Cricetulus griseus: one gene and its partners. The protein of the gene in region 4 interacts with the protein of the main gene of each other region in a pairwise test. Links are inferred from orthologs where the notes say so. Each region holds a gene or a part of one and is shown on either strand. Other genes may lie near its edges.

Region 1 (4,016 bases), on a different chromosome or scaffold from region 4:
CCTTGCTTGAGCCTCCTGCGCTTGGGACCTCTCTGCCCTACTCTGGGAAGGGCTCAGGCCACCTGGCCACTGAGTGCTTAGTCTTCAAATCCTAAGTGACACGCTCTAGTGGAACTAACTGAAACTGCCACTGCCACACTTAGTTCGTCACTTAGCACTTCTAACAGGCTACTCAGACTGCTGACTGCCCAATTTACTGTCTACTTTCCCCATGTGGACTTAAAATCCCCAAGGGCAGCCATGTTTTTTTCCTTGGTCTGTGCTTGTCAGACCATAATCTCAGAACCTCGTACGATCTCATGGCAAGGAGCACAGGCTAATTAGTGTGTCCACAGTCAGCCCACAGGGAACAGTGGGAAGCGGCTGGCCATCTCACGGGGCTCCTTTGGATTATCACACAGTTGTGGGGTGACACTGGAGCTGGCTGAAGTCGAAAGTCTTGTGTGGGTGGGATAGGTGGCCTCCTGTATCCCACCTGCAGCCCTGCCATCAGGGATTCTGCCCTCTCTCAGTTGTCCGGGGCACTTCTCCAAGTCCTCACTGCCCTGTCCCTCCCCTTGTCTGGGGCCAAGCTGGAGTCCTCTGAATCAGAAAGGCCCTGCCTGCCAAGGCTTCCCTTGGGAACCCCCCCCCCAAAAAAAACCTGCGACATCCCTCCAGGGGCCAAACGAATATGGCACTCACGTTGTCCTCCGACAGCTTATCAATGGTCACCTTGGCCTCCAGCAGGTGGCTGTTGAGGGCCACAATCTCGTGGTTCATCGCCCGCTTCTCTTCTTCATAGTGCTGGCCCTGGGCAGTAGGGGCAGTGGAAGGGATAGCTAGTGGTTAGTGCCACAGCCCAGCTGCTGGGTCAAGGCTTTTGTGAGCCCAACAGCTGTTGATGACAAGGTGCTCAAAAGGCTAATGGTGTAGGAGTTAAGACCACAGACTGATCCCGGTTTAATCCCATCTCGATAATGATAAACTGGATTAGCCTAGGCCAGTCCTTCCACTGAGCCTCAGTTACCTGCTCCCGATGTCCTTCTTATGTGGTGAGAAGTATGGCTTGCCCTGCCCACCTGTCTCAATGAGTGGAGAAGTGATGGTTAGCATGGCCCAGCCCCTACCTATCCTGCCCCCTTTGTCCTCAGACTGAAGACAGGCAGGCCTTGAACACCTGTCACCAAACAAGATCAAGCAGGAGCCTCATCCTAAAGAGAGGAGGTGCCAGAGCCCCACGGCCATTCTCCGTGCTGCCTGCACAGGCATGGCTTCCCTGGACCCCACCTCGTTCTCATCCTGAGAGCACCTCCCACTTGTGAGAACAAGCCTCAAGGGGCCACTCAGAGAGGGGGCAGGTAGCGTGCACTGGGGCCTCACCATCCGGTACAGCTTATCCTCCAGCTCTTGGTTGACACGCTGCAGCGTCATGTAGTTGCTCTGAATCCTGCAGCAGGAAGCAACAGTGTCAAGACTCGAAAGGCCTGACCTTCCTACAAGCAAGCCCAGCAACCTCACGGCCGCCATGCCCTGCTTAGCATGGCTGTCGGGCTCCTAAGCTTGTGCCACCAGCCCTACCTGATCCAATGTCTGCACTCAGGATCTGATCAGAGCTGACTTCTGTCAGGGCTTCTCCTAGGCCATGGTCAAAGTCCCATTGTTCTGCCCACCCACAGTAGGGCTCTTTGGAGAGAGCACAGGGAGGCTTGTGTGCATAAGAGCCTGTAAGAGCTGTATGCAGTTCTTAGAAGCTGGCAGGTGGCTTACAGAAGGACACACGTGTATATGTGGCCCCGAGATGAGTGCCAGTGACCAAGAGGGCATGTGGCTCCACCTGGAAAAGCAGGTAGAGACGGAGCAATATGCTTTGGCCTTCTCTTGCTGGTGGCTGGGGGACCAGGCATGGTGGCTGTGTGTCCTCTAGACAACCTTTGCAGTATTATTGCTGCCTTGCCAATAGGAAAGGGACACAAAAAGACGCTTAATGCAGTTTAGTGGCAGAGCAGAGCTGGGATTTTAACCAAGCCTGGCTCCCACACAGTGTGGAGTGTATTCAAAAGCCCAGAAGAATGGGACCATTCGAAGAGGGACACACTGCCCTCGGGACAATGCCAGCCGCTCCTCTAAGTATTTAAAACAAACTCAGCCAACAGCAGCCTGAATCCTCTTTGTGTTTCTAAGCTGGGGATACCCACAATAGGGTTTAGAAAAGCCAATGCCAGAAGGAAAACGGTGTAGGAATCTCTCAATGCATCCTGAGTCCCCAAGTCACTCAAGATGCCACTTTTATATCCACATTCGTCTTGGGAGCTTTTGTGGCCAGTGGGGAGGGGTCTGGAAGCAGCCCCACCTATGCTGCTGTTGGCTCATCCAATGTCAGAGTATTGCATGTATGAGGGCGTGAGAAGCCAGGTCTGGAAGAGGGCACTGGAAGAGCCTGACAATGGCATCAGTGGGTCGCAGGTTCAAGCCCTGGGTAGGCTGCTCTGCTCCACGTTTGCCAATCATCCCCGCAGCTAGCACTGCGGTGACCTAGCTGTATGCAGCTAGATCCTCACCATCCTCACCTGCGCAGTTTCTCAGTGACCTTGTCCAGTTCCTCCTGAGCTCGGCGCAGCTCAATCTCCAGGAAGTGACGGGTGGAGTCAAACTCTGTCTCCAGCTTCTCCAGCCTGTGGGTGGTGTAGGACAGCCGCTTGCGCAGCTCGCCCTTCTGCTCCTGCAGGGCACTGCAAAGCAACAGGCAGCTTGGCCAGGCTGTGCCACTGAGCAAGGGGAAACTGAGGCCACACTGGCCAGCCAGGCATGCTGTGGGCATGTACTGTGCTCTCGACCCCACTATTACTTGAATATGTGCACTGAGGCATAACCCGGTGCTCTCTGTGGCGGCTTTGCCAGCACTCGTGTCCTTCTAGGGGTCAGGACTCTGTGTTGTCCCCTGGGTGCTCACACTCCATCCCATCTTAGCCCCAACACCTGAGACTGTAACTTGCAGTAGACTTGCAGTAGGTAGGGGGCAAAAGGGAAGGAAGTTCAGGTGCCTGGGGGAAGGGGGTGGGAGGTGCTGGGAGCCCCAAGTCTGCCCAGATGCACTATGGGACTAGGCACCCCACCCCCACCCCGACTCAAAACCCAGTGAGGGGTGTGGAGGGCCGGCAGGCATCATCAGAAGTGTCCCCAACCCTGTGAGTAAGCCACACATGTCACAGGCACACTCCCAGCCACCCCCATTAGGCATTCCTGGATTCCTGCCCAGGCCTGAGGAAAGGGGGCGGGTCCTCCTGAGAGTCAGTCCCCAAAAGAGATTCTAAAGTAGCAAGGGAAACCCAAAGGCAAGGCCTTGCTGCCCACACAGGCCCAGTTGCCAGGTGTTCTGTTGTCTCTGCCAGCTGTCTCTTTGCTGCTCTCCTCCAGGCAGCCCGCCCAGCTGCATCAGCCCACTCCAGGCAGCCGCTACTCAGGCCCTTCCTCCCTTGTGGGGTGGCAAGCTTCCAGGAGTACCCACTCCATCCAAAGCAGAGTCACAGTGGGCAGCAACCCTTGAGGTTGGGAGGCCATAGGAAGAGGCTGTGCCCTTGGGAAGAGACGAGAGCCTGGTCCATCTGTTGTGGTGCCCCCCTCAGCACAACTCATTCGCCAGTATCCAGGCCAAGCTCTTGGGAAGCTGGACCTATAGCATGGTAGGCTGTGACACTCGGCCCCGACCCTCTAGGTCTATGAGGCAGCCTACCCCACATGCCTACAGACACCTGTCTCTACTCAGTTCAGACCCTGCCCGCACTGACAAACCCAAGCCAGCCTCTACATCATCCCTTGTTCCTCTACCCTGCCTTGGGCACCCACAGGGTCAGGAAAGGAGCTCCAGGGTGCATTCCATGCAGCGCCGGGACCCACCAGGGAGCATTGTTTCACAGAGCCTCAGTTTACCCTGGCCAGCCAATGGTCTTCTAGACATTGGCTCACTGGTCCACCAGCCCTTCCAGTCCCTGCCCCTCTCAGCCATCACAGCCACCTTCCAGGACAGTTGGCCAATA
Region 2 (3,500 bases), on a different chromosome or scaffold from region 4:
GCTGAGGAGCAGAGCAAGGAGTGGCCCAGACCTCTGAGCAAGGGTAGAAAGCTCAAAAGTACAACGAGCAGGCAAATGGCCAGTCTCACAAGACCTCAGCAAGCTCTTTCCCTTGCTGCCCAGGTGTAAGGAGATGTAGACTGGTGAGAAGGAAGGGGACACGGGGGCAGAGCACACACTCACCATCTCCGTAGATTCTTATCCCTCGCTTCCTGGGAACCCAGGCAGGAAGAAGGAACAAATACAAATTAAGCCTCCAGGAATGCCACCAAGGAAAGGTTCCAGGCCCCATGCAAGGCTAAAAGAGATAGAGGTTAAGCCTCTATCTCCTGAAGATTACCCCCTCCCCCAAGTTGTCCTTAGCCAGGGTGAGCCAAGGGACACACTGTATAGTGCCTAACTCCTCACAACAGAGAAAGATGGAGAGACACCATAGGGCAGTTTTGGTGGGAAGACCTCAAAATTCTACAGCTCGAAAGGCTGACCCTAGCTCCTCTCTGAAGTACAGTGGGCCCAGGCTTGCTGCTTAACCTCTCTGGATCTAAGCAAGACTCTAAGTGTATTTAGAAAAGCACCAAGGAAACAGGAGGCAGAAAAGGCTTTGTTCCAGGTGTGATGACGCACGCCTTTAATTCAAGCACCTTGGTGGTAGAGGCAGGAGGATCTCTGTGAGTTCAAAGATGGCTAGGGCTGCATACACAGAGAAACCCTGTCTTGAAAAATCAAAAAAATAAATAAAATAAAGGAAGGAAGGAAGGAAGGAAGGAAGGAAGGAAGGAAGGAAGGAAGGAAGGGAGGAAGGGAAGGAGGGAGGGAGGGAGAGAGGGAGGGAGGGAGGGAGGAAGGAAAGAAGGAAAGGAGGAAGGGAGAAAAGAAGGAAGGATAAAGCTTTTCAAGAGCCCAGCAAAGCCTGGCTCAGGCTGACAGAACATTGTTTGCAGAGTTGGTGAGTGAACAGTGAATGACAAGCCCTCTCATGGGCCATGTCTAACAGGAAGCACTGTCCAATCTTTGGTCAACACAAAGCAGAGTTTCCAAAAAGCACAAAGAGAAGCAAGGTAGACACAGAAAGCCACTAACTGCTCTCTGTACTCCCCTAGACACTAGCAGTCATTCTCCTCTCTGAGGGAAGGTTTAAGGAGGAGACAGGGCAGGGACACAAGGACCTAGAGGCTGGCTGGCTCCTTACCCAGGATTCACAGGCTCCGACTCTAGGGGCACCTTCCGTGTCTTGCTAAGAGAGGCCAGAGGTGAGCTCATAGCTCTAGTCTCCAGGCTAGCTGTCAGGAACTCCTGAGAGGAAAGAAGGAAGTCACCCCTTGGAGAAAGAGGAGACCCAGGGCTTCAGGTCAGGAGGAGGGAGCTGCAACTCTCCCTGAGGAGGAACACTGTCCAGGAGAAGCAGGCCTCACTCCTCCAGTGCAGGCCAGGGTTCCTCCTGATGTCTGCTGGCTCCTCTGAGCCACTGACTCTCTGTTCTGAACACAGAACCCCTTGCCTGGTGGGGTGCAGGGCCTGGATCTTCCCCAAGTTTAGAGTGTGTGCTCTTATGGACCCATAACTGAGCTGGCTGGCATTAAAGCCCAGGTATCTCCTCCCTGCCTGCCAGAGCCCAGGTGCCACCCCTATCATCTCAGAGGAAGAGGAGGCTACCCACAGGCAGGACTCATTGAAGACACAGTCATGTACCATGGAAGTCAGGCACCTACCTGGGCCCTTGCATACCCCCTGCTACCCACAGTGTTAACTGGCACCTCACTGCCTCCCATGTAAAATGTGCGTGGTATCAGCACCTACCAGGCAGGTGACTGGAGGGGGTGGGGCTCAAGTCCCAAAACATTGTGCCCAGTGCCAAGCTCAAAGGCAGGCACCTGTCAGCTGAATTGTGGCTATGTGATGTGGAGCCATTGTTATTGGCACAGGGGACGACAACATTGGAAAATGCTGACTCCCTTCTTCTGATGAAGAGTATGCTGTGCAAGCCAGTTCTAACTAAAAGCCACCACTCTGTTCCCTACATAAAGCGACTAAAACCTAGCAAGCCTAGAGCCAAAGGGATCTCTGTTAGGGAGGGTCTGAAATGAGTCTTCAGGCTAAGTCCAAAGCTGACCTCTGGAAATGTGACACTGACCTTCCCCAATATGCTGGGCAGTTTTTGTCAACATGACACGAGCTAACATCTATCTTCTGAAAAGAGGGAACCTCATTCCCTCGATGAGAAAATGCTCCCATCAGATCAGGCTGTAGGCAAGCCTGTGGACCTACTCTTGATTGATGTCTGAAGAGGGAGGGCCTAGCCCTCCTCTGACTGTGTACTCCCGGGCAGGGAGGTTGTGAGTTGGATAAAAGCAGGCTGAGGAAGCCATGGGGAGCGAGCCAATACGCAGCACTGCTCCATGGCCTCTATTTCAGCTCCTGCCTGACCTCTCTCCATGTTGGACTGTGACATGGAAGTATAGGCCAAATAAACTCCCTCCCCACGGTCCTTTTGGACATGGTTGTTACCACAGCAACAGAGAGCAAACAGGACAGACTGACACTCTCCAATAGGGGAACCCATGCTGCCTGGAGGCAGCCTCCCTCACCTTCTTTCTGAAGTCTGGGACTTATGCCCCACCAGTTCTCAAAAGGGGGCCCCTCCCATGGCCTGGAGCAGAGTTCCCTCAGCCACCATCCTACCTCCTCACCATACCTCTGCACTGCTCAGTGGAAGGACTGGGCTCCCTCCTTTTATTCATGCCCACAAGCAACAATGACATGCCACACCCCTGAACAAACTTTCACCCTTGAATGAAAAACTCAAAAATGGGCATGGTGGTGCATACCTTTAATCCCAGAACTTGGGGAGGCAGATCCCTGTGTGTTCCAGGCCAGCCAGGGCTACATAGTGAGATCCTATCTAAAAAAGAGGAAGAGGACGACAGCGAGGAGGAGGAAGAGGGTGAAGAGGAAAATAAAATTCCCACGGGTGATCTGGCCCTGTCTGCCTCCTCAAATTATCCCCACCTGAGCACCCTTGCACTGAAGGCAGCTGCGCAATGCCCGGAACACAGGGTGCCCTGTCATTAGCCCCCTCTCCGGGGAACCAAACTTAAACAGCTGAGCCATCTCTCCAGCTCTAACCTCCTCTTCTGGAATGGTCTCCTCCTCTGACCCATACCCTTCCTCTGGCCAAGCTAACCCCTCGATTTTCCTTCTATTTCTTCTTAGGCTATAACTTAGCTTTTTATTCAGAAATTATCAGAGATTCACAAGGAAACAGTTCTGAGGGGCCCCTGCACCCATCACCCAGCTGCCCTCTGTAGTCACTGTTTTAGGCAACCCCAGTAAAGCATGAGCAGCAGAACTGGCTGTTTCTGCAGTTTGTGTGCACAGTCCAGTGGCACCTGGTCACACGGACAGATTGGGTTTTACCACTGCCATCAAGATGCAGGCCTTTCCCATCCCCAAGGCTTTCCTCCTGCAGGCTGAGTCACACTATGCCTCCTCACTAGCCTGGA
Region 3 (3,500 bases), on a different chromosome or scaffold from region 4:
TGCTGGTTGGTCTCTATGAGGTCCCGGATCATGCTCTGCTGACGTGTTGTTTCTTCTATCAACATTTTCAAAGTCTGCCTCATTCTTTGTGATGATTGTTTGTCAAAAACGATGAGCTCTACATTGATATACATACATATATATAATATATATATACATATATATGTATATATAATACATAATACATATACATACACACACATATATATGCCATGAAAAAACAAAGAGAAGGTAAAGTCATTTTAAGATAAACACTTTTTAAAGAAAGAAAAAGCTTTGTTCCTAACAGAACAAGAACAGCATCTAGTTACCTTTGAGGTCAGTTCTTTTGACTAGACACAAAGGTTTGAAGCCATGCGTCATCAACAGCCCATTTACGCTTTCCCATTCTGCTTCCTCCTGCTACAATCACAGTAGAGAAAAAAGGAACAACTTAAAGATGTGAAGAAAAACCTTTTATATAGCATCCTATGTTTTCAGAACAGAACCTTTCCTCCAAAGGTGTCTGATTTTTAGATGTATGTATTTGTTCATCTATATGAGGGTATGAACTCGTGAAGTTCCAGTGCAGCAGAAACCAGAAAAAGGTGTCAGCCCCTGGGGTTTGAGGCAGTTGTGAGCCACATGACATGGATGCTGTGAACTGAACTAGGGTCCCGTGAAGACCAGCAAGTGCTTAAATGGTCTTACAATTTTTAGACAGGGTCTCACTATGTAGCCCTGGCTGGACTGGAACTATCAATGTAAACCAGACCAGCCTTGAACTTAAAAGGTGTAATTGCCTCTGCTTCCCAAGTGCTGAAATGAAAGATGTTTGGCATGCCTAGTTTTAATATGAAATTTTATGTATCAAATTATAATTTACAAAGGTTTAGTCTTTACTAAAATCAGCAACAGAAGTATGCAAATGAGTAAATTGTTATATTACACAAAATAACCACATGTAGGCCCCTTAATGGGCAAATTAAAACAAAACTTGTGATTTCAGTGAAACAGGTAAGTCTAATTGAATAAGGTCAGGCCATACTCAAATGACACAACTGAAAACTAAAACTAGCCACTCTGAAATAAGTATCTCTTTAACAATGATGAAAAAAGAAAATCAAGGGTCATGTGAGGGCTGGACTTGGGAAATAGCAGCTTCCAAAGGGCCAGGGTCCTGGGCAGGTGGCAGAGAGGAGGCCTTTATGATCTTCTTCAGGGAGGCTAAACAAATAGAAGCTCCACATCCAAAAATCAGACTGAAAGATTGACCTGTCCAGGTTCCTCTTTAATGTGAACTCATTTGAGATTTTCCAGCTATTCCTGAAGTGACAGAAAAAGAAATAAAAGAGAGGTTTCAGCCGCTATATAACACTAGTACATCCTGACAAAAATCAAGATGCTACTGGTGGTGCACAAAAGGCTTTTGAAGCTGTGGACAAAACTTACAAGTAGGCTACTGCCACGGGAACAGAAGAGGCCCTGGATGTGATTCAGGCAGAAAAGAACAAATTGTTAAGAGGCAGGGGTAAGGAAGGAAAGTAGAGGATGACCCTGAACTGTTCAAACAACCATTATACAAACAAACCATGAAGCCATTTGCTAAACTGGACATGAAAGAAGAGATGCCAAAGACGTGCACAAAGCAGAGGCGGAAGAAAAGTAGAGATGGTCAGTAGACAGCTGGTGAAATCTGCAAGCAAATCCCAAAGGGAAGAAAACAAAGAATCAGACCTTCCTGGGGTCACTGAAAGTAAAAATGGAGCATGAGTGGCCAGCTGGGTCACAGTCACAGAACTGTGCCTAGCTGTCCCCCCCTTCCTGCTTCAGGGGACTCATTCCTTCCTCCTATTTCCACCAACATGGAATAACATTGACTTTTTAGTCCATTTTGTCTTCACTACAATTTAATCTCAGAGTAATCCTCTGAATTGACAGAAGGGGCTCAGCTGAGCCCTGCCCCCCAGCCCTTGCCCACTTAACAAGCACAACTGGAAGGAGCCACCATGATGCTGTCCTATCTTCTCCCACAACCTGTGCCTTAATGTTCTGTACCTCACTAGACTATGATAGTGACAAACTTCATGGATAGTTCCTGGAAATCATCTTGCTTACTATGAATTCAGACAAGCCTGGACCACCTCTGGAAGTCCCTGTGCTTGATTTGAAGGTGTCATCCTCAAAGTCCCAGAGCAAGTAAAGAAGGCATTTGTGAACACAGCATGCAGTCACTCAATGCCCTCAAGCCCTGTGGTGTTTGATATATGTCCTCTGTCAACTGACCAACCATTGCTATCAATAACAGCTGTTAACCCCTGAGCAGCCACACCGAGGCCTCCAGTCTCCTTATCATCATACTCCCAGAGGAGCCACAGCTGCCAGAACCTGCCCCAATCACCATCACCTCAACCCTGAAAAGCAAGACAGAAAGACCCAGCAGCCGTCTCTGCCTCCACACCCTCAGCCACCAAACTGGGCACCATAGGGAGCTGTGTATGCAGCATCGAGGGACAATATGGGCACTAGGATTGTTACTCTAGCTCCAGAGGGGATTCGATGCCTCTGGCTCCTGAAGGAACCATATGTCAAATCTTCTGGAGACTGATAAAATTGGGGAAGCTAAAGAAATAAAGATACTTGACAGTCTTTAACCCAGAATCCTTAAGTAATTTATCCATTTTTTAAAAGATTCATTTTTATTTATTCTGTCTGCATATATACCTGCAGGCCAGAAGAGGGCACCAGATTTCAGTATGGATGGCTGTGAGCCACCATATGGTTGCTGGGAATTGAACTCAGGACCTCTGGAAGAACATCGAGTGCTCTTAACTGCTGAGTCATCTCTCCAGCCCCAGGAGATTCATTTTTAATTACATGTACTTGTGTATGAGTTTGGGGGTCAGGCAGAGTGACGGATAGTATTTTCAGGTGAGTGTAACTACCTGGAACTGAACTTACAAGTAGTTGGGAGCTGTATGATGTGGGTGCTGGGACTAGAACTCAGGTCTACAAGAGCAGTATATACTCTTTTTTTGAGACAGGGTTTCTCTACATAACAGCCCAGGCTATCCTGGAACGAGTTCTATAGACCAGGCTGGCCTCAAACTCAGAGATCCGCCTGCCTCTGCCTCGTGAGTGCTGGGATTAAAGGTGTGCACCATCACTGTCAGCTCCAGCAGTATACCCTCTTAGCCACTGAGTCATCTCACAATCCCAACAAACAATCTTTTTAAAGTCAGAATTTCAGGCCAGAAAAAAGTTCAGTAAGTAAAAATGCTTGTCACCAAGCCTGACAATCCAAGTTTGGTCCTGAGACTCTCATGGTGGAAGAAGAAAATCTTAATTCCTGCAAGGTTTCCTTTGACCTCATGCACACCACATACAAAAATAAATAAATGCAAAAGAAAATGCAAAAAGAAAATATGTCAGAGTTTTCTATTTGTATACTTGTCATTCTTTTGTCATATACTTTGAGAAACAGTGACAAAATATTTTAAGCTTACCTGTTTTTCAATCAG
Region 4 (4,158 bases):
GATTGCCACTCACGCTCCAGCCCCAACGTCTCCGTAGGTGTGGATGTGCCAGCTAAAGCTGGGGGCACAGGAGCCCCTACACTCTTGCGTTTCTTGGCTTTTTTGTGCTGTTTAGCAGACAGTGAGGACTCACTGTGACTGCCCTCTGGCTCCTCCTTCTGCAGCAGCAGCCCTGGTGGCAGCTCAGCTTCAGCCCTAGGATGGGCATGGTAGCTTGGCCCTGGGAGGGCTGGGGTGCCCAAGCCTGGAACAAGAGGCCTGAAAGAGGTGCACTTCAGTCTTTGGCTCCTGTGTCTTGAGCCTAGGGCCTAGCCCAGCCTGCCCACCAACCCCAGGACTAGTCAGCTGCCCTTTCCTGGTCAATGAAGCTCCAAGCCCAATAGAGACCTGCTACTCATGGTAACACTGTCTCTTATAAGACCTGAAAGCCCCAAATCTTTTTTTTTTTTTTTCTTCCTCTTAGACTCCTTTTCTAGAGAAACAGAAGTTTCTAGTTGGGAGTTGGGGCAGTTGCAGAAGACAAAGATATCTGCCTAGAAGGAATCAGGATTTAGGAAGCTCGGGGTGTAAGATCCCCACCCCCTTCAGCCCTGCAACTCCTTCCCTCTGAAAACCCCCTCACTTGATAGGCTTTCTCTTGGGTCCATGACTGGGCCTCACGATGGATGATGTAGGCTTGGGTCCTCTCTCCTCTCCTGCTTCCACCCCTGGATTGAGCCCTTCCTCTCCCCGGTTTATTCCTTCCTCCTGGAGCTCTGGCTCGAAGCTGTGTCCTACTGAATACTTGTCTTCACTTGGGGTTCTGCAGGTCTCATGTGCGGGCACCAGACACTTTTCTCCTGGTCCTGGTCCTGGACACTGGAAGATACGCAGAGTAGCCAATGGCCAGGCAAAGTATTGTAGGGACCAGTCATTCAAAGTCCAGTATTGGCCACAAAATATGACATGAAGGCTACCAGCTCAGGCCCCTCTACTTGCAGGACTCGACCAGGCAGTTAGGGGGTTGGGTCACCTACAGTCCCCCTCTCCTGCCCTACCGCTTCTACCTCCCTAGCTTCGAAAATGCCTGAGTCACCTCAGTGATCTCTGCAAGCTGGGCTAATCCTACTGTCGCCCCATTCTGGGCATCTGGCTGCCTCTGGGCCCCTGCTGAGGCCATGGCTGTGCGGAATCAGTGCATCCCTTGACGGTTGCTAGGAGAAGACGGCGGGTTCAGAGGAGGTTGGACTGGTGTACTCAGTCTTGGTAGGGTAGACCCGCTGGGAGGTGAGACCTGCGACTTAAAAATAGTTCCTAACCTGGAACTACAAACCCCAGAAGGCTTTTCGCCGAAGTTATTGACCCCTGACCTCAGGAAGTCATTTGTTGCCAAGCAACAGCAACTCCTACTAGCTTGCAACAGTTGGCGGTAAAACTGCTCCAGTGAGAGCCCCCTCTGGGGTGTTGCGGGGGAGGGGTCGCGAACACCTCAGGGCAGTCGGCCAGGATCCCGGTAGCAGGATGGTGGCGCAGACTGAGCCTAGGGACTGGGCGAGAGACGAGGGTGGGGGTCGGGAATGGGGGCTACTGCGGGGCTGCAGGGCTCGGGTGGCGGATGGAAGCACCCAACAGGGATTGGGGGCCGAAGTTGCGCAGCGCAGCAGGCTTCGTTGCACGGTTGCAGGGCTGCGATAGGATCATGTGCGAAGGCCCATCCAGCATCTCTGGACCCATTCCCCCAGACCCTACGCTCTGCCCGGACTACTACCGGCGGCCGGCCTCGGGTGAGTTGCGGGGTCCCACGGCGTGGCGAGTAGCTCGCGCCGCCACTGAGCACGGCTTTCCACCGCGTCTTGCTCTTCAGCCCAAGGGCGCCTGGAAGGAAACGCACTGAAGCTGGACCTGCTGACTTCAGGTCGCGACATGGACTTCAGCCCTTCTCGTGGCCCCCGCATCAGGCCTGGAGCCCGAGAGATACTAGAGCGTGGCCAGCGAGGCGTGGGAGACGTGCTGCTGCAACTGGAGGGCATATCCCTTGGTTCAGGGGTATCTCCTAAGAGTAAGTCCTTGCCAGAAGTGGTATCGAGGCATTCGGCGGTCAAAAGCAGAAATTAAAACAGGATGCTTCTTAATTGCCTTGAGCCCAGGTAATTAATGTACTTTTGTGGGTCTTAGTTTCCCTAGCACAAAAAGAGGCCGAAATGCACTACTTCCTAACAGGATCAGAGTTCCGTTCTTATGTAGGTAATCCTAGCTTCAAGCATTCACACCTCGATGGAACGTTGTTTACTTAGCCTGCTTTTGTGCCAAGCCCTATAGGTGTTGGGAAAACAGACTTTAAAAGTATGAGTGGAACAGTTGGAGGCAATAAACAAGACAGGACAAGGTAATGGTATCACTATCAAAATGTAGAAGATACCAGAAGGAACACTGTGGAAGGAGAGATTAAGATGATAATAGTGCTGTGTGTATGGAGTCTAGCTTACATAAAGAGGTCTTGGTTGTATTTAAATGTTGTGTGTGTGATGTTGGATATTGAAACCCAGGGCCTCTTGTATTCTAGGCATCTACCAGATTGTCTGGGAGAAATTTCTGCAAAGGATACAGTGTGAGCCTGTGTGGTCTAAGTCCCATGGCCATTTGTAGAGTTGTCCCTAGCAACAGTTTTTCCCCAGGGAAGGATCCAAAAGACCATGAGAAGGAAAACCTGAAGCGGATCAGAGAGATTCAGAGGCGCTTCCAAGATCAAGAACGAAGCCGGGAGCAGGGCCAGCCTAAGCCCCTGAAGGCACTGTGGCGCTCACCCAAGTATGACAATGTCGAGTCCCGAGTCAAGGCCAGGATGAAGGTATCTGTTCCTCGTAGCCAGACATATTGTCCCTATTGGCCAACAGACAACTATACCCTGATCTAACTTAAAGGGTATGTGTAGGGGGATCATAAAGGCTAAGACATCTGGGGTGGACCTTCTCTGAGCTGCTGATGACATCAGGACAAGTAAGAATTAGGTTAGGTGGACACATGGGGAAGGGCCTAGGCCTGGCCCAGGATGATGTGGTAGACTTTGGGGAGCCCCTTTTGAAGGCCTTACCCTGCCTGGGGAGTGGAGGGGGGATGGCTAGGGGCAGGTGGGATGTTGGGGGGAGGAGAGGGAGAGGGAGAAGGGATTGACATCTGAAGCAAGCTTGTTCCTAATTTGAACTAATAAAAAAAAAAAAAAAAAAATTAGGCTAGGGGAAGAGATGAGACCATAGAGATGAAACCTCACAGGTAGAAAGAAGTCCTGGGGTCAAGGCAATGGGGATAATAGTTATAATTCAATATGTAGACAATTAGAGCTGAAAGCTATCTTGACACATATCTGAAAGAAGTACCTAAGCTACTTGTCAACATCATTTATTTGTAGTGTTGCAGATTGAATGCAGGGTCTCTTGCACCTTAGGCATACAGTGTACCACTCACTAAGTTATGCGCCCAGCCTTCCTACTAATTCATTCTCAGTTTCTCTGTCTCTGTCTAGCCCAGGCTGTCCTCAAACTCTGTGTACATGACTAGAGTTGACTCCTAACTCTCCTTTTCCACCTACCAAGTACTGAAATTAAAGATGTATAGTACCAGCCGGGCGTTGGTGGCTCATGCCTTTAATCCCAGCACTTGGGAGGCAGAGGCAGGCGAATCTCTGTGAGTTTGAGGCCAGCCTGGTCTCCAGAGCAAGTGCCGGGATAGGCTCCAAAGCTACACAGAGAAACCCTGCCTTGAAAAAACAAACAAAACAAAACAAAACAAAAGATGTATATTACCATACCACTTTCTCTCTTTTTCTCTTAGTTAATTGATTTTTGAAAAAAAAAAATTATGGGGCTGGAGAGATGGCTCAGGGGTTAAGATTGCTGGCTGCTCTTGCAGAAAACTTGGGTTCAATTCCCACCATCATATCAGCTCACAACTATCTATGAGGGTTCCAGGGGATCTGGCACCCTCACACCAATGCACATAAAATAAAATTAAATGAATTAGTTTAATTTTTTTTTTTTATGTGTATGGGTATTTTGCCTGCAAGTCTATGTGTCACAGGGGCCAGAAGGTGGCATCAGATCTCCTGCAACTTTTGTTCTAGACTACTGTGAACTGTCATGTGATACTGGATACTAGTCCCCTGGAAGAGCATCCAGTGCTCTT
Region 5 (3,500 bases), about 93 Mb from region 4:
GGCCTAGGCTAAGGCCAAGAGAGTCCGCCCTGACCTGGGCCAGCACTTACTGAACTCTGTGCCCGTGAGGTGGGCAAGGATGCGGAAGGAGCGGGACTGGCCTGTCCCTGGCCGTGGCCGCCAGTCTTCGGTATCCTCCATCAGCCGCTGCTTGCTGGCATCGGGGACCAGCTGTCTGAACAACTGTCTGTGGGAAGGGTGTGGCTCAGAACCCCTGGTTCTGGTGAACACCAGGGGCAGCCCCCCCCACCAGGATCTGATGTGACAGGCGAGAGAGGGGAAGGGTGGGGGGTGAGGCAAAGGGCCCTGCTGGGCAGGAGGGTAGGTAGGTAAATGAGAGACGGGAGGAGAGTAGCCAGGGTAGGGAGGGGCTACCACCCAAAGTGCCCAAAGGAAGGGAAAAAGTGACAGGAAGAGGGGGCTCACTGACTTGTCAGGGGTCTGCACCTGTGAAGGAAATAAGACAGATAGACAAATAAAGTGACAGACGCGGGAGAGAAAGATGGGGAATTAGAGAAGTGCAGAGGGAGGCAAGGTGGCAGTAACTCAGCTGGCCCAGTCACACCCCAACCCCAGGCTGCCCAGAGTGGCAGAGCCTGTGCAAGAGCGACAGCCTTAGGTGGGGCTCTACACCCTCAGGCCTACCCGGCCGCCAGGGATTGCTGCCACACGGTTAAGGGGCTGGGGTACAGCACAGACTGAGCAGTAGCGGGCAGCTTGTGTGTGCTTGTGGAAGGACTGGACGGTGTGGACAATAGACAGGAGTGAGTGGGCGAGGGCTGACATACCCATTCTGTTGCGGGGTGCTGTCAGTAGGTGGGGGTGCCCCAAAGGGCCGGGCCGTCTTGTTGAGGGAGGCGCTTGGTGCAAAAGTATACCTCGGGGGATCGGCGGGAGGGGTCAGGGCCTGGGCAGAGACAGAGCCAGGCAGGGTGGGTGGGAGTGGGGGCTGAGGTGGGAGCGGAGTCACCACCACCAAGGACAGTGACAGGTCCAGCTCCACGTACACATCTGGGCAGAGGCTAAGGGTGAGGGGAAACTATGATTTCAAGGGGCCCATTTGGAAGTAGTGAACTCAACCCACTCTGGGCCAAGGGAGACCAAGGATGGGCAGGCACACACAGCACAGGCTCGTGGGAGGAAGCGGGCGGGCAGACAGACAGGCAGGCACGTGTGGCGCCCAGACCGTGCGGCAGCTCCCAGCCCCTCTCAGTTCCTCAGACACTGCCCCTTCTGGCATCTGCCCTCTGCTCTTAGGGGTAACAAGGCTGGGCCTGGGGAGGGCAGGTCAACCCTGAAGTCTAAGCCCCCTCCCTTTCTCAGCCTAGTTATCTCCTGTACAACCTACCTTCTGTGGTTTGCTCTGAACAGGCTGGGCTCTGGAGAAGAAGAGAAAGCAGTGATGGCAGTGGGCCAGACCAGAGACTGCCTTCACCCCTTCATCCTGTTGGCCCCATACCTGCTAAGCCCCAGGCTGAGGCGCTCCCCACAGGCGCGGATCTTGTTCTGGGCCTCAATGTGTGTGAGGCTCCCTGCGTTCTCACCATCGATGCTCAGCACCCAGTCTCCTACAGCCACGCCAGCCTGTGCAGCTTTGCCTCCAGGGGTGAGCTGTGGAGAGGAGTGGTCAGAAGCCCATGGGCCCACACCCAAGCTGTGTCATCTACCTTTCCACTGCTTGGTTGTCTATTCTTCTCTATGACCCTCCCTCACAGTGCACCTCAGGCTAGCGTCCACAGCCTTTGAGGGCTCTGCCAGTCTGCTCTGGAGGCTACTTCACCACCAGATTGCCCTCCTGTGTTAAGACTGGGCTACAAAGGCCTAATAGGGTCGATCAGCGTTACTTCTGTCAGGGTCCTGACAAGTGTCCCATCTATCTGAGCAACTGAGCGACTGCCCTGCCCCCTTCCCCATTCACTGAATGCCTTCATAAATGTACTCTTGCTCCCATGGCCACATACTTTTTTTTTGGGTGGGGGGTGACCAAAGCTCACCACTTACCAGAAATCAGCCAGTGTTGGTGAGCACTACCCCACTAGGCCTACTACATACCCTCATTTGCCACACAGACCAGAAATTCCCAATTCAAAGCCAAAAGGATTGGAGACACATCGGTCACCCACAGCTCTGAAATCACAGGTCCACTCAACCATCTGGCAAAGGGCCTGGCACCACAGAGCAGGCTTAATTTACACTTCACGGGTAGCAGGAAAAGTGGGGTACAGGCTGCCAAAGGTGGCAGCAGGATCCTCAGGTGAGCGGTGCAGTGGGAAGGCCAGGAGGTTCTGAGAATGTTAGGGACAGTCCTGATGCAGAGACTGCAAACACTAGGACAGAATGGAGCTGGACTTGACAGCTCTATTTTGTGCCTGAAGGGGAGGTTAGCAGAGAAGAGAGCACCTAAGTCAGAGCCCTTTCTTTACCTGCTAACAGATGCTAAGAATAGCAACTCAGAGAACACCTAGTATTGACACCGCATCTCCCAATGTGCTTGCAGAGAGTCTGGGGATCCACCCTGCTCATACTCAGAAAAAACAGTATTGCCAACATGTGAACTCAAGTCATCCAGTCTGCACTAGGTGCAGCCAGGATGTGGCCCTCCACAGCAGCGCACCTATGCTACACAGGCACAAGTGAGGGGTCGATAAATACTCTCACACACAAGCAGGAACTCCCCATAAAGACTCTGGGGAGCTGGGTGGTGGCGGCACACGGCAACTTTAATCCCAGCACTCTGGAAGCCGAGGCCAGCCTGGTCTACATAGTGAATTCCAGAACAGCCAGGACTACACAGAGAAAGGCCGGGCGCTGGTGGCATACACCTTTAGTCCCAGCACTTGGGAGGCAGAGGCAGGCGGATCTCAGTGAGTTCGAGGCCAGCCTTGTCTACAGAACGAGTGCCAGGATAGGCTCCAAAGCCACAGAGAAACCCTGTCTCTAAAATAAAAAAAGACTACACAGAGAGATCCTGTCTCAAAATAATTTTTTTTGTCTTCTGGTTTTTTGAGACAGGGTTCCCCGTGAACCAGTCCTGGCTGTCCTGGAACTCACTCTCTAGATCAGGCTGGCCTCAAACTCACAGAGATCCACCTGCCTCTGCCTCCTGAGCACTGGGATTAAAGGCATGCGCCACCACCAACTAATTAAAATTTTATGAAATTAAAAACAAAAAGACTCTGGGTGCCAGGCCTGGTACTGTACACCTGCAACGCCAACACTCAGGCACGCTGAGCAGGGGGACTGACCGTTCAATGCAGACCCTGTCTGAAAAAGACCCCTTCATGCCTTGACTAAGTCTGGGGTCTTCATGCTCCTTTCACCTTCATCCCACTCCAATCTGTCCCTTACAAGGGGGACAGGGAAGTGACACCCTAGAGGGGAAGTGACTTAACTCATGGTCATGGTGAGTCAGTCAGGAGATGGAAACCTGGTTTAGCCACTCCTTCCTCTACAGGCAGCCTGCTTCCTGAGAGGTGTGGGGTGAGACCCAGGGGTGTGTG
Region 6 (3,012 bases), on a different chromosome or scaffold from region 4:
TCTCATTAAGGGGATAATTATTCCTCCCCTGTCTTTAGCATGGAGTTAGATGAATCTGCCTTCCTGGTGGGCAGTCCATTAGCCAGGTGATGGACCTACCCAACTGGATTAACTCTTACGTTTTGGTTAGTTTGGAATGTTAGGGTTCCTTTAGTCTTGTATTCAGTTACACTCTGCTTAAGAGTCCACCAAACCACTCTACTCAGAGTCTAGGCATTTTTTTTTTTCTCAGAAAGAAAAGTTGAGATGGGGTGCTAGTGATGGTATACTCCTCTAATCCCAGAACTCAACTTGGGAGTCCTGAGGCAGGAAAAGTGCAAGTCAAGGCCAGCCTGGGCTATAAGTTGAAACCCTGTCAAAACAAAAGAAAAAAGAAAATATCTGGTTCTAATGCTTGACTTCAATCCTGTGTATTAGAGAAAAATTCCACTGTAATAGGATTAGCCTCATCAAGCACTGTCCCTATGCTCACCAGGGGGTGACAGGAGTAGGGGTGTCTCTCAGTTGTTCCTCGAATTGTCCCAGCGGCCATAGCCCTCTCGTTCCCCTGGCTCCTCCCTGCTCTCATGTTCAAAGTAGGCCTCTTCTTCTTCTTCCTCCCGTATCACCTTCATCAGCTCCAAAAAGGTGGGTAGTGGGCCCTGATCCTTCAGCTCCCGTAACCGGCACCATAGAACATTGGTGAGGTTGGCCCCGGCCATGACCTGCTCCAGGCGTACCTGGTCAGCAATGTTTCGGGGAATAGCCCGTTTTTCCACGGCTCTTCGGAGCAGAGTTTCCAGCCGGAGCACGTAGGCTGAGATTTTCTCCCCTTCTTGCTGATAGGTCTTTAGGTATCTTACCTGCGAGCTCCTACGGCTCTCCAGGCTCCCAAACACCTGCTTAAAGGCTTCCAGACACTCTTCCACACTGATGGATGGGTTGTCTCCCTGTACGATGTGCATGAGGTCCAGGGCAGGGCCGCGGAGGCTCTCCATCATCCACTTTTTCTTTTCTGCCTCTGGGATGGGCCACTCTTTGGCTATCTCAGTAGCCTGTTCCAACCAGATCTCGAAGGACTCCTCCTCCGGGGCAGGTACTGTGTTCCCAGAGAATACTCGCAACTTACAGTACCTCACAGGCTGCAGAGGCCTTGGAGCTTGAGCCATTGCCTGCCCCACCAAGTGGGCCAGTAACTCAGGGGATGTGCAGGTTGGGGTAGCTGGAGACACTCCCTCCTGCTTCAGGGCTCGGAACATCCCTGCAATGGTCTGGCCTTCTTTTTCTAGAAAAAGGTTCAATCTCTGGAGAAACTCACTGTCCTGGTTAGGGGTCTTAAAGATCACTTTCCAGACACCTCCTTTCCCCTGCACCTCACTGGGGACCACAGACATATCTGTGTCCTCCACGAGTTCTAGTAAGACAGCATTCGTGTTGTCTTGCTTCTGGAATATCTTGCCTAGCAGGCGGTAGTTGCCCACACACTTGAGCGCCTCCTGAAGGACTGCCTGGATCTCAGGCTCACCACAGTCGGCTGGTATGCCAGTCACCATCAGTGACTTCTGATCGCTCACACTCATTATCTTGCACCACTCCTCCAACAGTGCCACTGCCATCGCCCTAGGGTATGCTTCTGCACACAGTGCCTGCCTGGCTCACTTCCCAAGTAGCTCAGAGCCTTGCGGACCAACGCTCTGTCCTTTTACTCAGTGTCAAGAACCAGGCACTTCCTGTGTGTCTTCGGACCCACGGCAAGGTTGCTGGGTGGACAGGGTAGGCTGCAGTTACCAGCCCCGTGGCTCTGCAGTGGGTTTGCTGCCGTTTCTGAGAGCCTCAGGCAGCTGTGTGGTGCTGACTCTTGTCACTGTGAAGCACCTGGAATGACTGCTCGACCCAGCCTCTCCCGGTTTCTGTCACTTTGTCTCTACAGTCAATGAGGAGGTGGTTTTCACTCTAGCACCCAAAACTCTGGAAAGTCGTCACACAGCGAGATGGTGAGGACGCCTACGGAAACAGAGGTTTGTTTTTACTACGCAGACCTCTACTTCCCAGGACACACCCACACTGTGGTTTGGAATGGAGCTAGGGGTGGACCAAGGGCTATGACTCCCACTGCACCTTTGTCCACCCCACTCTGTTGGACCCCCTTCTTTGCTCACTGTACTCAGGGCTAGGGGAGCAGCTTAAACCCCTTCTCTCCACCCCAAAGCCCCATCAGTGGGTGGGATTCAAGACCTTCACCATTCGAAAGATGAAATTAGGAGACATAGTTAAATACCTGTTTATGTGTTCCGGAATGTTCCTCAAGAATCAAGGAGCATGTATTCAGCTTCCAGCTCTGGAAGATGTCTCCCACCTCTGTACAATAGTATGGGTGTGTCTGAACTTCATCCAAATCAAGCTGTCCTGTTACACACAAACATGAACAATGTGTTTTTAGGCCTAAAATCTAGTAATAAAGATGAATGCACTTATTAAAAATATAAAGGTTCAGTAAAGGATGGGAAAAAAGTGACAGTCCTGCACAATTTAGTAGAACATCCTAAATAAGATAGTTGCTGCACTTTGAATAAAAACACCTCCTAGTTCTGGGTATACTCCTCAGTCTGTAGAGTGCTTGCCTACCATACGTGAACAAAGCCTGGAGTTCAATTTCCAGCACCACATAAACTGGGCATGGTGGTACATGCCTGTATTCCCAGCACTTGGGAGGTGGAGGCAGGAGGATCAGGAATTTAAGATCATTCTTGACCTCATAGGGACTTTGAGGTCAGCCTGGGCTACATGAGAATCATACTTAAAAACAAATACAACTGCACTGTGTGTGGTGCCACTCTCAACTGTTGTGAAGATAAGGCAGGAGGGTGCCAAGTTTGAACTCAATCTGGGCTACCCCCAAGAAATCTCGTCTCAAAAGAAGAAAAAGATATATATAAAAAAAACCTAAGTAGAATCACTCAGACCTTTCAAAATAATTTTTAATGGGTATAATGAAGAAAAATTGAATCTCAGAAAAACAAGCACACCGTGAAG
Region 7 (4,099 bases), on a different chromosome or scaffold from region 4:
GGGTTGCTCTAATTAACTACCAAAAAACAGTTCTATGGCAAATTTGTCCCATTAGTCACCCATTTGAGTGAAGCAACAAATGAGCCACCCCTTTAAAGTAGTAATTTATGTTGCCAGATTAGAGCTAAAAAAACAAAACAATAACAAAAACCATAACCCAAGAAAAAAATGGGGTATATAGCTATGATTAAATTTAGTATCTCAGGACATAAAATTAATTATTCCCAAACATATTAAAGTAAACGAGTTAAGTGAAGCGGCCCATAGCTGTAGTCTCAGCTACTTGGTAGGCTAAGGCAGGAAGATGGTTTGAAGCCAAGAGTTCAGGGCCAGCAAGAGCAACAACAACAAAACACTCCAGGCATGTAGTGCACATCTGTAACACCAGCATACAACTCTCCAGAGTCAGAAACATCAGACTCAAAACCTAAGGACATCCTCAACTACTTAGCTAGTTTGAGGCCTGCCTAGAAGACAGGAGGCCCTGTTTAAATTTTTTTTTTTAAAGAGAGAGAGAGAGAACTAAAATGTAGTCCTGTTCTTTAAATGCTCACAAAGAGCCATTTCTTTCACTAATTTTTTTCTGAATTTAGTAAGTAGTGCATTTGTTACTTATTGTTGGCTAACAAACAAATATCCCATTAGAATTTATTTTAAAAGTGTGTATATAAACTCAATGTATTGTGTCAGAAGGCATGGCCTATCTTAAATCTGTGTTTGCTTAACAATCAAAGAAGTTTTCATTATCACACTGCTTGACTATCCCTAAATGTTGCCTCAACATACTTCTAATATGTATTAAATTCACCACCTAAAAACATAAGGTGTCCGCTGTATATGCTAACTGAGATAATAGACAGGGAAAAGCTGTACTGGTACTGAGCAGTCATTTTTTAATTCAGCAGGGGTTGGCAAACTACAGCCCACAGCACAAATCCAGTCCAAGTACTCAGCCAAAATAATTAACCAGGGGGCCATTAGGCTGTAATGGTTTCAGTCCCTTGGATTCCTATGTAAGTAAACTCAAATCCAATGATTACTATTAGAAAGAGGGCACCAGTGGGTTTTTCTGGGATGTAAATACTATTATGCTGTTTTAAAAAAAAAATGTAACCTTCTATTTTATGTATGTTGGTATTTTGACTACATGTATGTCTTGGCACGGCAAGCATACACAGTGCATACAAGCATGCTAAGAGGGCAGAAGGCATCAGATTTCTTGGGACTACAGTTATAGATGCTTGGTGCACCATGTAGATGCTGGGAATCAAGCCAGGGCCTGCGCTCTTAACCCGATGATCGATTTCCTCTGTCCCTTATCATGTTCTTTTTTTGATCTTGGTACTAGATAAAAGAGTATACAGCATGAAAATACAATGAGTTTTACACATGACTTAAACATTTTAAAGTTATCACACAAAGATTTTATTTCATACTCTGTCTTTGAAGAAAAAAATGTGTCTATCTCCTATTCATATTTTTTTGCCATCCTTACTTTTATCTAATGAAACAATTCATATTATCTTACTTTTAAAAAGCAAGCCTAATTTTACTGGCATACTAACATAGGATGTAATATAGTTTTGTTTCTGAAAGTGGGTGGGGGGCTTTCCACCACCCAAGGAACCTCCCAAAGGAACTCAAGACTGGAACCTGGAAGCAGGAACTGAAGCACAGACCAGGGAGTAATCCTGCTTACTGGCTTGCTCTCCATGGTTTGCATTGCTTCCTTTCTTATACAACTGAGGACCATCTGCCCAAAGGCCATACCACCCAAAGTGATCTGGGCCCTCCCAAACCAATCAATAATCAAATTAATCAAGAAAATGTCCACAGACATGCCTATAGAACAATCTGATGGAGGCAATTTCTGGCAAATACGCACAGGATGCCAGCCTATGGAATGATTACTATGCAACTGTTGTTTTGGGTGAGATCCTTTGCAGACAGAACACACTTTGCAAAGCGAGTTACTTGTGAAACTCGTAGGTTAAAGCAATCCTTCCCTAGCTCTGTCCAGGACCATTGGGAACTGACTCACATAAAAATGCTCGAAGGAGTCCACCCAAAGACCTGTTCTTATAGAAAAGGTGTTTTCTTTTTTTATCACCCTCGTCTATCCTGCGATATTTGAAGTTTACCCAGGTCCTTCCATAGAGCTTCAAATACTTCACCAATACCATTGGGTGGTATCATCCTCCAGTTAGAAAAGCCGGCTCTTGAAACCAGAGTTTGCTTCCATTCGCATCCTACTACAGCCGGCTCCGCGCGTGTTGAGCAACACTGGAGTTTTGCTCGCACTTTCAAGGGTGAGAACTATAAATCGCTTCAGTCCTCCAGCGGGGACTGAAACCCGAACTCTTGCCAAGATTTAGCAGGGATAAAAACCCACACTTTTGAATCCATGTTCAGCCTCTTAACTTTTAAGGCTGTGCTGAAACCCGAGGAGAAGGAGCACTGTGTCACCTGAGAACACCGCGACGCGGGCCCTCGAGGGTGGCCCGCACGCTCCGGGCCAACCCCGCGCAGCCCTCCTGCCTCTCCGGGGACCGCGGCCGGAAGTCCCGAGCCGGCTACAGCCCACCCTGAGCTTCCCTCCCCTCCCCCAACCCTCCGGGTCCACGCCGGTACCTGAGGAGCCGCGGGACCCCTCGGCGCCCACTCCGCTCACGCAGTTTCTCCGGCCTGGGGCGCTGCCACCGAGGGAGCCAATCGCCGCGCGCCCGCTACGCGCGCGCCCCTGAGTGACCGAAGGGGGCGGGGCGGGGCGGACAAGGCCGGGCGCGCCGCCGGGCCCACGGGGACGAGGCTGCGGCTGCGGCCGCGGCGCGCACCGGGCATGCGCGAGCCCGCTGGCGATCTTGGGGCGGGGCTTCCGGCGAGCTGGGGCCGCGGGGAGTGCTGAGGGGAGCTGGGGAATAGTGTGGCCCCAGGTCGTTCCATGGGAGTAGAGGACTACGGTCCAGACGAACTCTTGTGCGGCGAGAGGAGGGGAAACGTGGGGTGCGCGGGCGATCTTCACTGGGCAGAAACTGCGGTTCCCTTCAGTGGATGTGGTTTGCGGGACGCGAGGAAGGGTGCTGCGACGGGAGCCCGAGGGAGACCTCCAAGCGGGCCAAAGAACGCCTCAGACAAGCTTTAAAGCTCTTGGCAGTTTCTGTTTTCACTTCAGGACTACAGAGAGTGTATGCTAGACTATGTGCATGCTCAAAATGCTCAATCTCGGAATTTAAAAGAAAAACCTGAACGCAGAGGATATGGTTTATTGTGGACTCTAGGGGTAACGTGGAATTTTATCTGAACTGATATAACTGGTAATGAACCAAGTATTTCCCGAGAGAGAGAGAGAGAGAGAGAGAGAGAGAGAGAGAGAGAGAGAGAGAGAGAGAGAGAGAGAGAGAGAGAGAGAGAGAAACACCTGCCTCCCACCTTAGCCAAGTTACCTAGTTACTGGAACTACAGGCCACTTAACACTGGCACTTTAGTATTGAGCTTTAAAGTCACTTTAATTTACATTACTTAGTACTCTGAGTATTTACTATGTGCCAAGTACTCTTTTGTACTCTTGGATGCTGGAATAATAATATTAGCACTAATGTTATCAATAATAGTAATTTCTGCGCACGCACACACACACACCCACACCCACACCCACACACACACACACACAGAGAGAGAGAGAGAGAGAGAGAGAATAAAGTCATGATGACCACCAAAGTCATGATGGACAAAGATAGTGAAAGGAACTTACTAGTAAGTGCCAAAAGGGTGTGAAGTTTGGAAAATGGATGAGAGAACTTAGTTAAATTATTTGGAGTAAATAGAGTATAATATTAAAAAACAGTTTCATTTTTTATGTAACCAATGACTAGTTCTCTGAAGTGGCTTGTGACATTCGACCTTAAAGTGAATTTTTAATTTTATTTATTTATTGCTTTACATTACTCAGAGTTGAATCAGATTTTAATGGACATAAAGTATAATTAAAAATATGGTTATGGTGGTGCACCTCTGTAATCCTAAACCTTTGAAGAATGATCATAAATTTGAGGACAGCCTGGGATACATAGCAAATACACAGTTCCCACCACCACCACCC

What was found.
Region 1: the proteins of Enkd1 (region 4) and Begain interact in binary tests that used the Homo sapiens proteins (3 or more experiments, as listed by UniProt). The two-hybrid records come from large-scale screens. The link is inferred for Cricetulus griseus from reciprocal best matches to the Homo sapiens genes ENKD1 and BEGAIN.
Region 2: the proteins of Enkd1 (region 4) and Ubxn11 interact in binary tests that used the Homo sapiens proteins (3 or more experiments, as listed by UniProt). The two-hybrid records come from large-scale screens. The link is inferred for Cricetulus griseus from reciprocal best matches to the Homo sapiens genes ENKD1 and UBXN11.
Region 3: the proteins of Enkd1 (region 4) and Cep70 interact in binary tests that used the Homo sapiens proteins (3 or more experiments, as listed by UniProt). The link is inferred for Cricetulus griseus from reciprocal best matches to the Homo sapiens genes ENKD1 and CEP70.
Region 5: the proteins of Enkd1 (region 4) and Pdlim7 interact in binary tests that used the Homo sapiens proteins (3 or more experiments, as listed by UniProt). The two-hybrid records come from large-scale screens. The link is inferred for Cricetulus griseus from reciprocal best matches to the Homo sapiens genes ENKD1 and PDLIM7.
Region 6: the proteins of Enkd1 (region 4) and Pnma2 interact in binary tests that used the Homo sapiens proteins (3 or more experiments, as listed by UniProt). The two-hybrid records come from large-scale screens. The link is inferred for Cricetulus griseus from reciprocal best matches to the Homo sapiens genes ENKD1 and PNMA2.
Region 7: the proteins of Enkd1 (region 4) and Mipol1 interact in binary tests that used the Homo sapiens proteins (3 or more experiments, as listed by UniProt). The two-hybrid records come from large-scale screens. The link is inferred for Cricetulus griseus from reciprocal best matches to the Homo sapiens genes ENKD1 and MIPOL1.

The regions. Positions count from the first base shown.
Region 1 is NC_048598.1:185,739,198-185,743,213, reverse strand, and holds the start of Begain (brain-enriched guanylate kinase-associated protein), read right to left. Parts: upstream 2,801-4,016; coding exon 2,550-2,800; intron 1,430-2,549; coding exon 1,363-1,429; intron 793-1,362; coding exon 685-792; intron 1-684. UniProt on the Homo sapiens protein: May sustain the structure of the postsynaptic density (PSD).
Region 2 is NC_048595.1:19,186,241-19,189,740, forward strand, and holds part of Ubxn11 (UBX domain-containing protein 11), read right to left. Parts: intron 1,319-3,500; coding exon of another isoform or gene 1,294-1,318; coding exon 1,190-1,293; intron 299-1,189; exon of another isoform or gene 293-298; coding exon of another isoform or gene 213-292; coding exon 184-212; intron 1-183. UniProt on the Homo sapiens protein: May be involved in the reorganization of actin cytoskeleton mediated by RND1, RND2 and RND3. Promotes RHOA activation mediated by GNA12 and GNA13.
Region 3 is NC_048597.1:207,688,505-207,692,004, reverse strand, and holds part of Cep70 (centrosomal protein of 70 kDa), read right to left. Parts: coding exon 3,486-3,500; intron 1,790-3,485; exon of another isoform or gene 1,219-1,789; intron 1,109-1,218; exon of another isoform or gene 1,086-1,108; intron 403-1,085; coding exon 312-402; intron 119-311; coding exon 1-118.
Region 4 is NC_048596.1:181,988,650-181,992,807, reverse strand, and holds the start of Enkd1 (enkurin domain-containing protein 1), read left to right. Parts: upstream 1-1,358; 5' UTR 1,359-1,422; intron 1,423-1,663; 5' UTR 1,664-1,678; coding exon 1,679-1,763; intron 1,764-1,843; coding exon 1,844-2,038; intron 2,039-2,654; coding exon 2,655-2,827; intron 2,828-4,158. Other genes in the region: CUNH16orf86 (uncharacterized protein C16orf86 homolog), read right to left, coding at 14-258, 623-858, 1,076-1,159. UniProt on the Homo sapiens protein: Microtubule-binding protein which regulates microtubule organization and stability. Promotes the stability of astral microtubules and facilitates the proper orientation of the mitotic spindle.
Region 5 is NC_048596.1:274,494,265-274,497,764, forward strand, and holds part of Pdlim7 (PDZ and LIM domain protein 7), read right to left. Parts: intron 1,612-3,500; coding exon 1,460-1,611; intron 1,380-1,459; coding exon 1,349-1,379; intron 908-1,348; coding exon 789-907; intron 448-788; coding exon of another isoform or gene 431-447; intron 188-430; coding exon 51-187; intron 1-50. UniProt on the Homo sapiens protein: May function as a scaffold on which the coordinated assembly of proteins can occur. May play a role as an adapter that, via its PDZ domain, localizes LIM-binding proteins to actin filaments of both skeletal muscle and nonmuscle tissues.
Region 6 is NW_023276807.1:221,896,243-221,899,254, reverse strand, and holds Pnma2 (paraneoplastic antigen Ma2), read right to left. Parts: upstream 1,596-3,012; coding exon 501-1,595; downstream 1-500.
Region 7 is NC_048598.1:145,200,889-145,204,987, forward strand, and holds the start of Mipol1 (mirror-image polydactyly gene 1 protein), read right to left. Parts: upstream 2,801-4,099; 5' UTR 2,632-2,800; intron 1-2,631.